Pelodiscus sinensis: one gene and its partner. The protein of the gene in region 2 binds, or shares a complex with, the protein of the main gene of each other region. Links are inferred from orthologs where the notes say so. Each region holds a gene or a part of one and is shown on either strand. Other genes may lie near its edges.

Region 1 (8,256 bases), on a different chromosome or scaffold from region 2:
CTCCAGTTATCCAGCCCAAAGTGAGGGATATAAATGGGATGTCTCCAGTTCCCTCTGTATACTTAGAGGCACATGAGGGAAAAGAAAAGGAAGAGCCGCAGGATCAATGTTTACAACAGCAGCGGGGAGACAGGAGAACAATAAGTGTGATAAAGGTGAGGGAAAGATGGGTGGAGGGTGAAAATTAGTGCAAGCAGGGGGAGAGGTAGGTGGGGGAGAGGGAGGACAGAGAGGGAAATCATGGACTGCAGGCGGTAAGTGGGGGTGATCACGGCCTGCAGGGGGTAAGGAGTAGGAGGAAGGACAGCAGAGAAGATCAGTGCCTGCAGGGGATGAGGGGAGAGGAGATGAGTGCCTGCAGCAGAAGAGGAGGGAGATCAGTGCCTGCAAGGTGTGAGGGGGAGAGGTCAGTGCTTGCAAGGGGGAGGGACAGGCACGGGTGGGAGGTTACTGCCTGTTGAGGTATGAATGTCTGGGTATAGGTAGAAGATCAGTGCCCACACAAGGCAAAGAAGATGGGGTATGTGTAGGGGAAAGTGGAAATCAGTGCCTACTGGGGGGCTAGAGATGGGGGGGAGCAGTGCCTGAGGTGGTGGAATGAAGGGGGGAAGGGCAGGAGGAACCAGTGCTCAGGAAGGAGGGAGGAAGGAATGGGGAAGGGGCAGTGCAAGTGGAAAGGGATGGGGACTGTGTGAAGGGAAGGGGGAGCAGTGCAGGGGGACAGAAGAATGGGAGCAGTGCTGGGGGGAGGAGTACAGGAGAGACAGGGAGGATCAGCGTGAAGGAATGGGGAAGAACAGGGCCAGGTATAGTGTAGCAGGGAGGGAAGAAATACAGGGGAGGGGAGATGATGGGGGAGAGCAGGGCCAGGAGAAGGAATGCGAAGGGTAGTGCTGGGGGGGGGTGAGATAGTATGTGCAGTAGGGGGGAAGTGATGTGGAAAGCAGTGCCAGGGGAAGGGATGCAGGGGGAGAACAGTGCAGAGGTGGGAAGGGATGCTGATGGGAGGGTGTGTGGGGAGACAGGGCCAGAGGGAACAGACAGTATGTGCATGGGAAGGATGAGGGAGGAGAGCTGGGGGAGGAGGAACGGAGATGGGGGGGAGGGCAGTGCGTGCACAAGGGGGAGGGATAAGGGAGAGCAGTGGCGGGAAGGGAGAGTGGCAGGGAGGGAGAGAAGGGATGTGGGGGGCAGTGCTAGGGAGCAGTGGGTACATAGGAGGAGAGAGAGGGGAGAGCAGGGCTAGGACAAGGGATCAGGGGAGGCAGTTCCAGGGGAGGAGCAGCAGGGGGGGCAGCATGTGCATGGGGGAGGGATGTGAGGGAAGGTAGTGCTGGAATGAAGGCTGGGGTTGAGCAGGCCCAGGAGAGGGGAGGAGGGATGGAGGAAGAAGGAATGGAGGAGGGAGAGAAGGCCTTGAGTGGAGGGAAGAGTAAGCCCAGGGTTGGGGGAAAGAATGGGGAAGGAGAGCAGGCCCAGGATGGAGGAGGGTTGAGGGGGAAGTGCTGGGGGGGGGGGAGCAGCAGCATGTGCATAGGGGAGGGACAGTGAGAGGCAATGCAGGAGGGAGGGCTGGAGGAGTCTTAAGGAAGGTGGAATACATGGCAAAGAGCAGGCCCAGGGTGAAGGAATAGAGGAGGGCAGCAAGTGCATGAGGGGAAGCATGTAGGGGAGGAATAGTGCTGGGGCAGGGAAGGTATGAGAGGGGGCAATGCCAGGGAGATAGGGAGGAGGGATGCGGGGAGGAAGTGTGGGGGGGGGTGCAGGGAGGAAGTATGGGGGGATGTGGAGAGGGACAGTAGGGATGTGGGAATGGCATGAGGATGGGGGAGGGATGCTGGGAAGAGAGAGAAGGGATGGAGGGGGTGAGGAGGCAGTGCTGGGAGGAAGAGGGGGAAGGGATGTAGGAAGGGGGAGCAATACTGGGAAGGAAAAGAGAGCAGTGCCAGGGGGGAAGGGATGGGGGGAGGGCAGTGTCGGTTTGGGGGGAGGGGAGGAGGAAAGGGGGCAGTGATGCGGAGAGGGAAGAGATGGGGGGGGAGCAGACTCAGGGGGGAAGGGATGAGGAAGGAGGGGACAGTGCTGATGTGGGGGGAAGCGTGGGAGGGGGGAAGACATGTGGGTGGAGGCAGTGGTCGGCAGGGAAAAGGGATGTGGGGAGGCAATGGAGACGAAGGGGAGATGGGATGTGAAGGATAGTGCGGGTGGGGGGGGGCGGAGAGAAGGGATGCGGGGGGGCACTCCCAAAGGGGGACAATGCGGGGGGAGAGAGAAGGGATGCGGGGGTGGCAGTGCCGGGGGGCACTCTCGGGAGGGCAGTGACGGGGAGAAAGGCTGGGGGGCAGAAGGGATGCGGGGGGCAGAGCCGGGGGGAGAAGGGATGCGGGGGGCAGGGCGTGCACGGGGCACACCTCCAGGACAGCGCTGCTCAGCTCCCTGATAGCGAGACTGGGGCCCGGGCGCGGGCCCTGCGGGGACGGGGGGATCCCTGCCAACCCGGCCCGGCCCCGGCCCCGGCCCGAGTGTCGCGCTGCGGCCGGGGCCCGGCCGGGGGGTGCGGGCTGCGGGCAGGGGGCCCCGCTCCGTACCTCTCCCTTTGTGTCTGGCGGCTGCTCCGCGGCGCGGCTGGGCCTGGCCACTCGTGTCTCTCGCTGGGAGAGAAGCGGAAGTGCTGCAACAGCAACTCTTACCCAGGCAATGGCTGCCCCGCTCCTCCCCGGCCCCTCGGCGAGCCGGGGCTGCCGGAGCAGGCTGCCCTCACCCCCAGGGGGCAGGCGGCGCGGGGGCCGCGGAGGGAGGCTCCTGCGCCTGCCGAGGCGAGTGTGTGAGCGCGGAGAGGGAGAAATAACGAGCCGCGGGGCTCCGCTCCCTGCCCCGGTCTTAGGGGGCACTGGGAGCAGCTGGGGCTGCCCGAAGGCTGAGCCGGGCGCCTGCCCATTCCCCCCCCTGGTTCGGCCCCAAAGCCGCAGCTCCCCCCGGCCTGATCCCTCCCGCCGCCGCAACTTCTCACCTGGCTCAGTCCTAGGGCAGCGGCAGCGGCAGCAGCTTCCTCCCCGTCTCTCACCTGTCCCGGCCCGCACGCAGCAGCCGCTTCTCCCCTCCCCTCGCTCAGCCTTGACTCATCCTCGGCCGCCGCAGCAGCTGCTTCCCCCTTGCCCGCGCCCCGGGTTCAGGCTTCCATTGTCCCCACGCAGCCCCCCGCGCGCGCAGCGCCACACAAAAGGAAGGGCCGCTTGTGATGTCAGCAGCTCCTGCGGAGAGACGGCAGCAGGCTGGCCAGCTACAGGAAGGAAAAGCAGGTTGGATTTGGGAATGGAACAGGATCCGCAAAGGGGGAGCCTCCCAGCTGGGGCACCGCATTAAATAAAGTTGGGCCAGATGATGCTGCATCTCCAGTGGCTTCTTCTCCCCCCTCTCTCCTTCTTCTCCCCCCTGTCTCCTTCTTCTCCCCCTGCAAAGCCTTTGCAGATGATCTTTTTGCTACCTGCACAGCCCTAAGAAAAAATAACACTGACTTCAAGAGTGATTCACTGTACTTCTCCCATGGTAAGAAGACAGCAGTCAGTCACTTTTCTATGGGCCAAGGCATAGTGCCATAGATCTAAATGGAAACGCTGCACCAGATTTATTTCTGTCCCTTCTTCCTCCCCCGTTGACTTCAGCAGGTTAATATAACCGCTGAATGTGGTTCAGTGCTTTTAGTTTCCAAATGTATATCAAGAGATGACCAGACAATAACTATGTGATATAGTGTAGTAGGCAGGAAAATGAAATCACCACTGTGCATCATAATCATTAGTATTACTTTGCATTTCTGGAGATATTTAAGAGTAGGTTAGATAAATGTCTATCAGGGATGGTCTAGACAGTATTTGGTCCTGCCATGAGGGCAGAGGACTGGACTCGATGACCTCTCAAGGTCCCTTCCAGTCCTAGTGTTCTATGATTTCTATCCTTCCTTGCAATGGAGGATCTCAAAGCAATCTACAAACAAATGATTACAACTGCACAACACACCTATCAAGTATGATGGGTATGATTATTCCCACCAATCTATGTTTTGTAAATCAAAACCCATCTGTCTAGTCTCCCAGGATTTTCTGGGATGCTCAACACTTGCAGCTCTCTTGACTTCCCATTGAGTTTGGATCATAGTATCATACTATCATAGAGCTGGAAGAGACCTCAGAAGGTCATCAAGTCCAGACTCCTGCTCTAGGCAGGACCAATCCCAACTAAATCAACCCAGCCAGGGTTTTGTCAAGCCAAGACTTAAACACCTCTAGGGATGGAGACTCCACTACTTCCCTAGGTAATCCATTCCAGTGCTTCACCACTCTCCTAGTGAAATAGTTTTTCCTAATATCCAACCTGGACCACTCCCACCACAACTTGAGACCATTGCTCCTTGTTCTGTCATCTGTCACTACTGAGAACAGCCCCTTTCTATCCTCTTTGGAACCTCCCTTCAGGAAGTTGAAGGCTGCTATCAAATCCCCCCTTACTCTTCATTTCTGCAGACTAAGCAGACCCAACTCCCTCAGCCTCTCCTCAAAGGTCATATGTTCCAGCCCCCTAATCATTTTGGTTGCCCTCTGCTGGACCCTCTCCAATGCATCCACATCCTTTTCACAGTGGGGGGCCCAAAACTGGACACAATACTCCAGATGTGGCCTCACCAGAGCCAAATAAAGAGGAATAATCACTTCTCTGGATCTGCTGGCAATGCTCCTCCTATTGCACCCTAATATGCCATTAGCCTTCTTGACTACAAGGGCACACTGTTGACTCATATCCAGCTTCTCATCCACTGTAACCCCCAGGTCCTTTTCTGCAGAACTACTACTTAGCTGGTTGGTCCCCAGCCTGTAACAATGCTTGGGATTCTTCCGTCCCAAGTGCAGGACTCTGCACTTGTCCTAATTGAACCTCATCAGATTTCTTGTGGCCCGATCCTCCAATTTGTCTAAGTCACTCTGGACCCCATCTCTGCCCTCAAGCGTCTCTACCTCTCCCTCTAGCTTCATGTCATCTTCAAAGTTGCTGAGGGTGCAATCCATCCCCTCATCCAGGTCATTAATAAAGATATTGAACAAAACTGGTCCTAGAACTGAACCTTGGGGCACTCCGCTAGAAACCGACCGCCATCGAGCCGTTGATCACTACCCGCTGGGCCTGGCCTTCTAGCCATCTTTTTATCCATCTTACTGTCATTTATCCAATCCACATTCCCTTAGCTTGCTGGCAAGAATATTGTGGGAGACCGTATCAAAAGCCTTGCTAAAGTCAAGATATATCACACCCACTGACTTTCCCATATCCACAGAGCCAGTTACCTTATCATAGAAGTTAATCAGATTGGTCAGACATGAATTGCCCTTTGTGAATCCATGCTGACTATGCCTGATCACTTTCCTCTCTTCCAAATGCCTCAAAATGGATTCTTTAAGGATCCCTTTCATGATTTTTCCAGGAACCGAGGTAAGACTGTCCGGCCTATAGTTCCCTGGATCGTCCTTCTTCCCTTTTTTGAAGATGGGCACTACATTTGCTTTTTTCCAATCATTCGGGATCTCTCCCGATCTCCACGACTTTTCAAAGATAATGGCCAAAGGCTCCCTCATTACCCTCGGATGCATTAAGTCCGGACCCATGGATTTGTGTACATTTAGCTTTTCTAAATAGTTCCTAACCTGTTCTTTATCCACCAAGGGCTGTCCATCTTCATCCCATCTTGTGTCACTTAGCGCATTAGTCCGGGAGCCGACCTTGTCCGTGAATATAGAGGCAAAGAAAGCATTGAGTACTTCAGCTTTCTCCACATCATCTGTCACTAGGTTACCTCCTTCATCCAGTAGGGACCCCACATCCTCTGATCACCTTCTTCTTGTTACCATGCCTATAGAAACCTTTTGGCTACGTCTACACTGGCACGATTTTCCGGAAATGCTTTTAACGGAAAAGTTTTCCGTTAAAAGCATTTTCGGAAAAGCATGTCTAGATTGGCAGGATGCTTTTCCGCAAAAGCACTTTTTGCGGAAAAGCGTCCGTGGCCAATCTAGACGCGCTTTTCCGCAAAAAAGCCCCAATCGCCATTTTTGCGGAAAAGTTTTTAGGAAAAAGACTTTTGCCCGAACGGGAGCAGCACAATATTTCTGCAAAAGCACTGACAATCTTACATGAGATCGTCAGTGCTTTTGCAGAAATTCAAGCGGCCAGTGTAGACAGCTGGCAAGTTTTTCCGCAAAAGCAGATGATTTTGCGGAAAAACTTGCCAGTCTAGACACAGCCTTCTTGTTATCCTTCACATCCTTGCCAGTTGCAATTCTGATTGTACTTTCGCCTTCCTGATAACCCTATTGATGTTCAGTAATTCTAAAAAATAGACTTCCAGTCTCATGTTTTAATCAAATTACCTTCTGTAACACTTCATGGCTGCATATTTAGACACTCGCCATAGCTGTCACTGAGGACTGAGTCCTGGAATTTCAGTATCAAAAGCTAAAGAGCATCCTGAAACAAAGATGTTCTCCATTGTGTATGAATTTACAATTTCCTCCAAAATGGCTCTCCATATGGAACTTTTGTTTTTGTGGATCTCAGATTCTCATCAGCAGGGCTCGACAAACCGCTGCATCTACTTGCCCGTGGCAAGTAGATTTCAGCCGGTCGCTCCGAGCGCCACATTCACTGGTGCTTCGCGCATGCGCAGTGCCGGTCTGGCACCTGCGCAGTGTGGGGCTGGCAAGTGGCTCTTGCCGGGGTTTGTCAAGCCCTGCTCATCAGAAACGTATCTCACAGGAGGGCATGTAAAACAGGATGATGCATGTGGTCACATCACTCTCTAGTCACGGCTGGCTCCGTCAGTTCCATAGTACTATCTCACAGACAAAATAACTCTTCTCTTAGCTCAAACAATAGGGTCTGTGGTATTGGTGATCTCAGGTTAAATCTTCACAAAGAGCCATTTTATGACATGTACATCTCATAATATCCCATTGCTGCTTTGTTCACTCAACTCTACTCTCAAACCCACGGAATCCTGCCTCTCTGAGACTCCAGCATAAAGAAAAGTTGAATTTTCCCTGACAGTTGTACAGTCGTACACGTTAAGATCAGAAGGGACCATCAGATCATCTAGCTTAGAGAGAATCTCACCACATCCACACCAAGCCCAACAAACAGAATCAGACAAAAGTATTATAGCCCTTAGGACATTAGGGCCAAAGTGCCACTAGTGCCCAAGGCCTCTATAATGGCATGGAATTGATTGAGATCCTAGCAAATGACCTTTATTGTACTGTACTTCATCCTCCAATGGCAGGTGAAAAAACCCCCTAAGGTTACAGCCTACATAATCTGAGGAAAATTTGTTCCTGACCTTGAACTAGTTTGTCCCTGTACATGTGAACCAGACTCATCAACTCAGCAGCTGAGAAGGAGAATTCTCAGTACTACCTCAGAGTATCAGCTGATCCCATCCATGGCCATGGCCATGGCCATAAAAAACCCCACCCGGAATATTTTGGGTGAAAATGTATTCCTTCTTTACCCCTTCAGGTGACTAGCTGAAGCCTTGAAGCATGACATTTTAGGACAGGAACCAGAAAGGACTCCAAAGCAACTCCATCAAACAATTCCACTAAAAAATGTATCTAACTTTATCTTAATACTAATTAGTCCCCCTCCCACCACTATCCATGCTTCTGATGGTTAAAAACCTTCTTTTAATTTCCAATGTAAAATTATTCATGGACAGTTTACTCTCTCCAGAGAATATGTCATGTCATACAGGAACAGTTGACCTGGAGATGGCACTAGAGGTGGGCTTGTCTTTGACAGTTATTTTAACAAGGCCTTACTTATGACCAAAATGTTAAATTAATAAATGAAGGCTTGGCTGGATAAGGAAAATCATTGACTTTGTTAAAAGTGTTTGGACCAGCTGAATCTCAGTTGCCTGTGGATGCCGATGCCACCTATGCGGCAGAGATATAATGTTTTGTAACTCATCTACGCCATGTAGCGAAGGCCATTTGGTAGAATTTAGCACTCACCATCTATACCCAATGGTTATTTATTGAGAGAGGGTACAATAGTCAGGCCATCTTTTTACTTAGTCTCTCTCCTCTCAATCAATGTATTTTTTCCTACATATCTTTGTTCTTCCCCTCTCCCCCTTCTTCCCTTTCATCTTTTCTCCTCATTGATAAGTTGGAGTAGGGGCGGATATAGGGCAGGGCGAGTGGGGCGGCC
Region 2 (7,807 bases):
AAAGACACAGGAAGTCATTCTTCCGCTCTACTCTGCACTGATTAGGCCTCAATTGGAGCATTGTGTCCGATTCTGGCACCACATTTCAGGAAAGACGTGCATGGAGAAAGTCCAGAGACGAGCAACAAAAATGATTAAAAATCTAGAAAACTTGACCTATGGGGGAAGTCTGAAGGAATTGGGCTTGTTTAATCTGGAAAAGAGAAGACTGAGAGGGGACATAACAGCTGCTTTCAAGTACGTAAAAGGTTGTTACAAGGAGGAAAGAGAAAAATTGTCCTCTTTAACCTCCGAGGACAGGACAATGAGCCATGGGCTTAAATTGCAGCATGAGCAGTTTAGGATGGACATTAGGAAATGTCAGGGTGGTTAAACACTGGAACAATGTGCCTAGGGAGGTTGTGGAATCTCCATTATTGGAGATTTTAAAGAGCAAGTCAGACAAACACCTGTCAGGGATGGTCTAGAAGAGAGTACTTAGTCCCGCCCACTATGCTGGCAACAAGTTCCTCTAGCCAATCCCTTAAGCCACTCATGTGCCTCCAATCTCTCCAGACTCACTGACTTTATGGTGCTCACAAGAAAATGGCTAATTATGGGCAGGCCAAGGGGCAGTCATGATAAGGTAGCAGGAGAGGACGGGTGGACCAGTCGTTAAGATGCTGCTGGCCTGGGAGAGCTGGGTTCTGTAACACAGGTGACCTCTGTGACACTTCACCAGCTGCATCAGACTTCACTGGAACAGTCACTTACACCAGTGGTCCCCAACGCAGTGCCCGTGGGCGCCATGGCGCCCGCCGGGACATTTCTGTGCGCCCACCGAGTGATCGGGACTGGTCCCATCCCCAGGCATGCAGTGCAAGGGCTTTGCTGGCCCCTGGGCACGCGGCGTATGAGCGGCACCGACCCGGGCGCCCGGTGAAGGCGCAACGCCGGCCCCGGCCCCGGGCCCACAGCACGTGGGCGGCGCATGGGCTGTGCCGGCCCCAAGCACGCGACGTATGGGCGTACCCACCCCTGGGCGCTTGGCTCCCCACCCCTGAGCAGCGCTGGCCCTGAGCACGCGGCATATGGGTGGCCCCGCCCCTAGGCGTGAGGTACAGGAGCGGTGGCAGCCCTGGGAGTGTGGCGCATGGGTGGCGCTGGCACTGGGTGCGCAGCGTACGGGTGGCCCCGCCCCCGGGTGTGTATGCGGCCCCGCCCCCGGGCCCATGTGTGGCCCCTCCCCTGGGTGCCCGGTGCGTGAGTGGCCCTGCCTCCGGGCACCCGGCAGTCCCAAAAGGTTGGGGACTACTGACTTACAGGATTTCCTTCTCTGCCACCTGCTGGTTCATCAGGGAACTGTAACAGGAAATTAAGTTTGGTGGGCCTCAGTCTATCCCCAGTGTGACGGGTGTCCACCCTGCACAGCCAGCACCCCAGCTGTCAATATCTCCTCCTTTCAGACAGATGAACATTAACAAGGATCTAAGAGTCCAGGGCCTCATGAAACTTCAGTTCAAGACCGTGCCCTTGCTACAGAATCTCTGTGCGACCATGGGCCACTCCCTTAATCTCTCCGTGCCTCAATTGTCCAGCTGCAAAACATGGTTTATAGCCTTACCTCCCACTAATGTCATGAGGATAAATATATTATAGACTGTGAGATGCTCAGCTACTGCAGTAAAGGGAGACCTATTATTATCTGCAGGGCAGTAGTGTGTGTGGTGGGGAGAAGGAAAGTCACGGATCAGGACCCCTTTGTGCTAGGTGCTGTACAAACACAGAACAGTCTCAAAAAGCTTGCCACCTTGTTCACTTTTTAGCAGGTTTGGCAAAGATGACAGGGACTGAGAGGCTCTGGCATCTGAGTGACCCCTTCGGTTGTAGTCCTCCTAGAACAGGTTTGAGGGTGGGAGGAATTAGGGATGCATTTCCTGCTGCTGACCCTCCTAGATATGTTCTCTGGATAAACAGAGGACTCCAAAATTTCTGAGACAGTCAAACTTTCACCACTTCTAGTCTATACAGGTTCTCACAGCTTGCTCATCGCTGTAGCATCTCAGCGCCTTTCAGGAGTGCACTAAGCAACGTTATTACACATCTGAAAGTGAAAATACACCAGTAGTGAAATCACATGGAAAACTACTCACCGCACCAGACATAGCCCTGGGCACATGCTTTGAGTATGAACAATCCAAAAGCCAGCAGCCAAGTATTTTCAGTGTCTCCTGGAACTAAACTACAACAGGATACAAACAAGTGACTGTAAATAAACGGAAATCTGTCATCTTGATGATGTGTCAGGTCACTTATCCAAAGTATTCCTGTGGCCCGCATCACATCGCAGCAAGCACTTCATCCTCTTTAATGCCGGTATTTTCACAGCACTCCTTGGAAAAGCTATTATTCTCATGTGGAATGGAGACACAGACACAGGCATGCTGAGGCTGCTAAAGAGCTTGTCTACCAGATCAGACCTCCCACAAAACACAGCTGCCCTTCTTACACTCCTTAGCTCAGTGGTTACATGGCCAATGCCTGCCTGAATCAGAGAAGGGACATGATCGCAGGTCTCTCCCCTCTGAGATGAGTGCCCTACCCAGTGGGTTAATGGTACTTTCTCAATCCCCACTCTTGAAGCTGGTCCACTCTGTAAATATGGAGAAATAAACATGACTTGAGCCAGAGAAAGTGACTATGTCTCAGTGTTTAGGGAAATGGGGGAGTCAGGCCTCTCTCAGCGGTACTCAGTACATAACCAATATGTTGTGACATGTCTCTCACATGGAACATACTGGGGTTGATGGGCCAAAGGAAGCGCTTGATAAGTTTATGGAGGAAATTATCTGAGAAGTTACATACAATGACATATGGCCCATCCACAACAGCTGTTCACAACTATCTCCCATGGCAGAAGAGGGGACGCTAGAGGGGGAGGCTTCTAAGTTACTAGAGAAATTTTCCCTCCAGTCAGATTGGCAGAGATGCTAGAGGGCTTTTTTCCTTCCCTCTGTGCTGTGGGGCACAGGACACTTCCCAGAACAAATGGCGGCTTTTCTCTAACTTGAATTTTCTAAATCAAGTTTTGAGGACTTCAGTAACTCAGCTGGTGATCATGGGCCTACTACAGGACTGAATAGGTGAGATTCTGTGGCCTGTGCATAGGGTCAGAATAGATAATCATGTGGGTCCCTTTTGGCTTTAAAGTCTTTGAACCTATGAGCAGCAAACTCTAGCATTTTCTGTCCTCTGCAGGTAATGCAAACTTCCTAATTTCATAGGTGAGCTCTTTGGGCCAGTGACTAGGTTGTTTACAACACCAAGCACCATAGAGACTTAATTGGAACCCACAGGTGCAATTGTAATCACCTCCCTGCAGATTTGAAACCGGGCTCTCTAGAGTTTAGTGTAGGAGCCGCTACAGCTTAAGCTATAAAGCCAGCTGGCTCTAATCTTAGGCTGTAGAGCTCACTCATTCTTTTCTCTCACTATAAGTGGTCTAAATGCCACTACATGGGACAGTGAACCACACACACGAGGGCCGTGTCTACACTGGCAAGTTATTCCAGAAAATCAGCCGCTTTTCTGGAAAAACTTGCCAGCTGTCTACACTGGCTGCTTGAATTTCCGGAAAAGCACTGACGATCTAATGTAAAATCATCAGTGCTTTTCCGGAAAAACTATGCTGCTCCCATTTGGGCAAAAGTCTTTTTCTGGAAAACTGTTCTGGAAAACGGCCAGTGTAGACAGCACTGTAGTGTTTTCCGCAAAAAAGCCCCAATCGCGAAAATGACGATCGGGGCTTTTTTGCAGAAACGCGCGTCTAGATTGGCCACGGACACTTTTCTGGAAAAAGTGCTTTTCCAGAAAAGCGTCCTGCCAATCTAGACACACTTTTCTGAAAATGCTTTTAACGGAAAACTTTTCCGTTAAAAGCATTTCCGGAAAATCATGCCAGTGTAGATGTAGCCTAGGTGTATGGATTACACAATCACAATATAAATTATGCACAAAAATAATGATTTCCATCTCAAACTCTGCTGTGCAGGTGATGGACGTGCCAGAGCTCAGAGGACAGAGCAGGGTGTGAAGGCGGAGCCCTATGGAGAGTCCGACAGTGCAGCCGTACGTCGATGTGGACAAGGGGTTTGCCATTGGGTTTGTCATCCTGATGTGCGTTTTCTTGATGGCCATGATCGTGAGGTGCGCCAAGCTGATTGTGGACCCATACAGCGCCATCCCCACCTCCACTTGGGAGGAAGAGCAGATCAATTGACTGACAATAAATAGGAGGAAAACTGGCTAATCAGTTCCTTGTGGGTGACTCTTTTGCCTCTTGTGGTCCCTGTAATCCCCCACCCCTGCACAGATAATGAAGATTCTGTAGCTTAAATTGTGCATTTGTCAGATTCTAACACTATTGATAATACCTGGTATCTTCCATCTAAGGATCTCAAAGCACTTGACAATTAATTCAGCTTCATAAGACTTTGGGGTGGTAAGTGAATATACTAAACTCCTTGTGTCAAAGTGTCCATGGCCAAACCAGGAACAGAAGTTAGGAGTCTTGACTCTCCTTATCTCCTTGACTCTCCTTGACTCCCCTTAGATTCTCCTAATCCTAATGCCTTATTGAGGAAGACAGGAGTAGCCATCTGGGCTGGCTGGCTCCGACAGCAAGCTGGAGTAGGAGATGGTTGCTTACGCCAAGCGGCCATCTCTACCGGAGCAAGAAAGTGAGCGCAGACCTGCCCACTCTGGTTTTCCTGCACATAGTCACGTGTGTACGATTGGAATGAGGGGCAGGATGTTTCTCTCCTGTGACATCTCAGCACAGGGTGAGTTCCTCAGCAAGATTTGAACGCTGAGCGCCAAGCCTCAGCCCACCAGTGCAGCGCCTGTCCCTCAGGCAGGGCTGCAAGAAAGCAGCAGTAGTAGGCTGTTATCCCCCACCCACGCGAGCCCAGCACTAGCCTCGTGGCCCATGTCAGGCAGCTACAGCCTCAGCTCAGAGGCTAGTGCCCAGGAAGCCCCTGTGAAGTGCGCAGAGTTGTGGCAGGGGGAGCCCGCACTCCTGGCGTCCATTCCCGGCTCTGCCACTGACTCGCTCTGTGACCTCGGGCAAGGCACCTCCCCGCTGTCCCTTTAAGATCTGCCGCAGCGCCCTTAACGATGTGTTCTCCCGGCGCATGCGCACGGACCCACACAGCCTGACGGACCCCTGGCCCTTTAAGAGTATATCCCAGAGGCACGCTGGGCGCATGCGCAATATCCAGCGGTGGGCTCGTGCCCCGCTCTCAAGCAGAGCTCACTTGTGCCTCGCGGGCTACCGTCACCGGAAGTGCTGAGAGGTTCCATCCGGTCTGCCCGCAGCCAACGGCTGCTCCTCAGAAACAGCCCCACCCCCCGGGCCCGGGGAGAGGTGAGGAATGTGGGCTCGGGGAACATGGGAGCGGGGGGGGGCAATGGGGGGCACAGATAGAGGGGGGCTCTGGGGGAGGGGGAAGGGGCAGTTGGGGTACAGAAAGAGGGGGGCTCTGGGGGAGGGGCAATGGGGGGTTCTGGGGGAGGGGCAATTGGGGTCCAGATTGAGGGGGGCTCTGAGGGAGGGGCAATGGGGAAGGGGCAGTTGGGGTACAGATAGAGGGGCAATGAGGAAGGGGTAGTTGGGGTACAGATAGAGGGGGGCTCTGAGGGAGGAGCAATGGGGGGCTCTGGGGGAAGGGCAATTGGGGTCCAGATTGAGGGGGCCCTCTGAGGGAGGGGCAATGAGGAAGGGGCAGTTGGGGTACAGATAGAAGGGGGCTCTGAGGGAGGGGCAATGGGGGGTTCTGAGGGAGGGGCAATGGGGGGCACAGATAGAAGGGGGCCTCTAGGGGCTACACGCGGCACAGGGTCCGACCTAGCTGGCATTTAAAAATGGCGCCGGCCGGCTTTATGCAAATGAAGCCCGGGAAATTCAAATCCCGGGCTTCATTTGCAACTCCGTATGACTACATTACCACCCCCTAGTTCGAACTAGGGGGGTAGTGTAGACATACCCATAGAGAGAGCAGGGAACCAACTTTTAAGCTAGCTTTCCACATGTATTGGCTCCCACCTGCTGCTCCCAAGGATCTGGACCGGGAGCCGCATGTAACCATTTGTGTAACTGATAAGCTCATGCTTACCTGTTACCCATGTAAACAGTTACACTCTTACATCCAAAATGTCCATATGCTTATGAGGTCTTATACTGCAGTCAGGTTGGTTAGAGTGGTACAATACTTATGCTGACATACACTGTGTGTGACCAGAGCCTTGGAAGCTTGCATGTTGTCACATATTTCTTTTATTGCTTTGGTTTTAGCAAAAATGGATTCTCAGGAAGTAACAGAGTTGCAGCAAGAAGTGATAGAGGAGTTGGGGATCTCTATGGAGGAGCTCCAGCAATTCATTGATGAGGAGCTGGAGAAGTTTGAGAGTGTGAAACAGAGGAAACAGCAGCTGGAAGAGCTGGAAAAGAGTGTGGAACAGAAAGAAGCAGAAGTGGCATATGTTGACCAGCTCTTTGATGATGCTTCAAGGTAGGTATACTTGCAGTGGCAACTTTGTGTTGAAGAGAGAGCTAGTGGAGGTAGCAAAGAGAATTCTAGAAGAGGGAACTGGGCATTAGGATTCTCAGGTTCTATTTCCATCTCTACCACTGACTTGCTGGACGATGTGTAGGCAAGTTTCATGCACTCAGATTCTTAGAAGTACTCATTAAGCGCGTGCACTTTGGTAGCTGTTTCGTGTAGTGGCTTTGAGTCCTTCGGGTTAGTTTGTCCAACCCCTAATTCTGGTTTGCTTACTTGGGCAAACTCGCAGTTCTGCTTAGTGGTGATAATGGCCACAATTGCTGAGTAACCCCTTAAAGTAGCAGGTATCAGCTGTGCAAAACCTTCTCCTCTTCCTGGGAGGAGTGGGGTATAATTATATTCATCTTGGATCTTTCTCTCTGCCCCTTTTTTCCCCCCTCAATATGTTGCAGAGCCATTGGTAAATGTGAGATACTGGTAAAAGATCTCTACTCCAAGCTGGGCCTTCAGTATCGTGAGAGCAGCTCTGAAGATGAAGAATCAGCCTCCAAGCCCATGGAAGTGATCGAAATCCCAGATGAGGATGACGACGATGTTATGAGTATTGATTCGGGTTGGAAGCGCAGTTCAGTGTTCCACGTGACATTGGGAAGTGGGTTGGAGGAGGGGGTGGGGAGATAAAAGCATATCCCTGCAAAGAATATAACTTTTTAACAGGGTTCAAAAAAGGAGCTAGATACATTCATGGAGGATTGGTCCATCAATGGCTATTAGCCAGGGTGGGCAGGGATGGTGTCCCTAGCCTCTGTTTGTCAGAAGCTGCGAATGGGTGACTACTGTCTGGTTCATTCCTTCTGGGGCACCTGTCAGGACAGGACACTGGGCTAGATGGACCATTGGTCTGACCCAGTCTGGCCGTTGTTATGTTTTAATATGAAGGGGGATGGGGAGTTGGTCAAAGAGCATCCTCAAGAATATGCATTAGGACTATTGTTTGTAAGGCTGTGCAGGACCGGATGGAGACTCCCATGGAGCCTGTGGGAAGTGTAATAAGAGTGGTGCTTGTGAAGTCAGTGCATTTGTTCCCTAATTGAAAGCAGTTAAATTGGGAAGCTCTCATATGACATTCCCCTCCCTCAGGAATTGTGCAGAGAAGCAGCCAGAAGGACTAGTTAGCTCATCCCAAAGCACAGCTTTTGGGTGGGGAAGGAGAGTGAAATGAGAACGTATCCTGGGGAATCCTCTCTCCTCAACAAATAGGCAAA

What was found.
Region 1: the proteins of SETDB1 (region 2) and ubiquitin-conjugating enzyme E2 E1 are in contact, whole or in part, in a crystal structure (PDB 8IYA), measured with the Homo sapiens proteins. The link is inferred for Pelodiscus sinensis from reciprocal best matches to the Homo sapiens genes SETDB1 and UBE2E1. Residues at the interface, in NP_001138887.1 of Homo sapiens: Glu868, Gly869, Tyr870, Glu871, Ser872; in NP_003332.1 of Homo sapiens: Asn125, Ser126, Gln127, Val129, Cys131, Leu132, Lys136, Asp163, Pro164, Leu165, Val166, Gly167, Ser168.

Annotation. Positions count from the first base shown.
Region 1 is NC_134712.1:189,268,227-189,276,482, forward strand, and holds the start of ubiquitin-conjugating enzyme E2 E1, read right to left. Parts: upstream 3,243-8,256; 5' UTR 3,011-3,242; intron 2,822-3,010; exon of another isoform or gene 2,589-2,821; intron 1-2,588. UniProt on the Homo sapiens protein: Accepts ubiquitin from the E1 complex and catalyzes its covalent attachment to other proteins. Catalyzes the covalent attachment of ISG15 to other proteins. Mediates the selective degradation of short-lived and abnormal proteins.
Region 2 is NC_134734.1:21,839,551-21,847,357, forward strand, and holds the start of SETDB1 (histone-lysine N-methyltransferase SETDB1), read left to right. Parts: upstream 1-4,660; 5' UTR 4,661-4,675; coding exon 4,676-4,820; intron 4,821-5,248; exon of another isoform or gene 5,249-5,404; intron 5,405-5,974; exon of another isoform or gene 5,975-6,227; intron 6,228-6,331; coding exon 6,332-6,548; intron 6,549-6,994; coding exon 6,995-7,167; intron 7,168-7,807. Other genes in the region: CTXND2 (cortexin domain containing 2), read left to right, coding at 4,085-4,258. UniProt on the Homo sapiens protein: Histone methyltransferase that specifically trimethylates 'Lys-9' of histone H3. H3 'Lys-9' trimethylation represents a specific tag for epigenetic transcriptional repression by recruiting HP1 (CBX1, CBX3 and/or CBX5) proteins to methylated histones.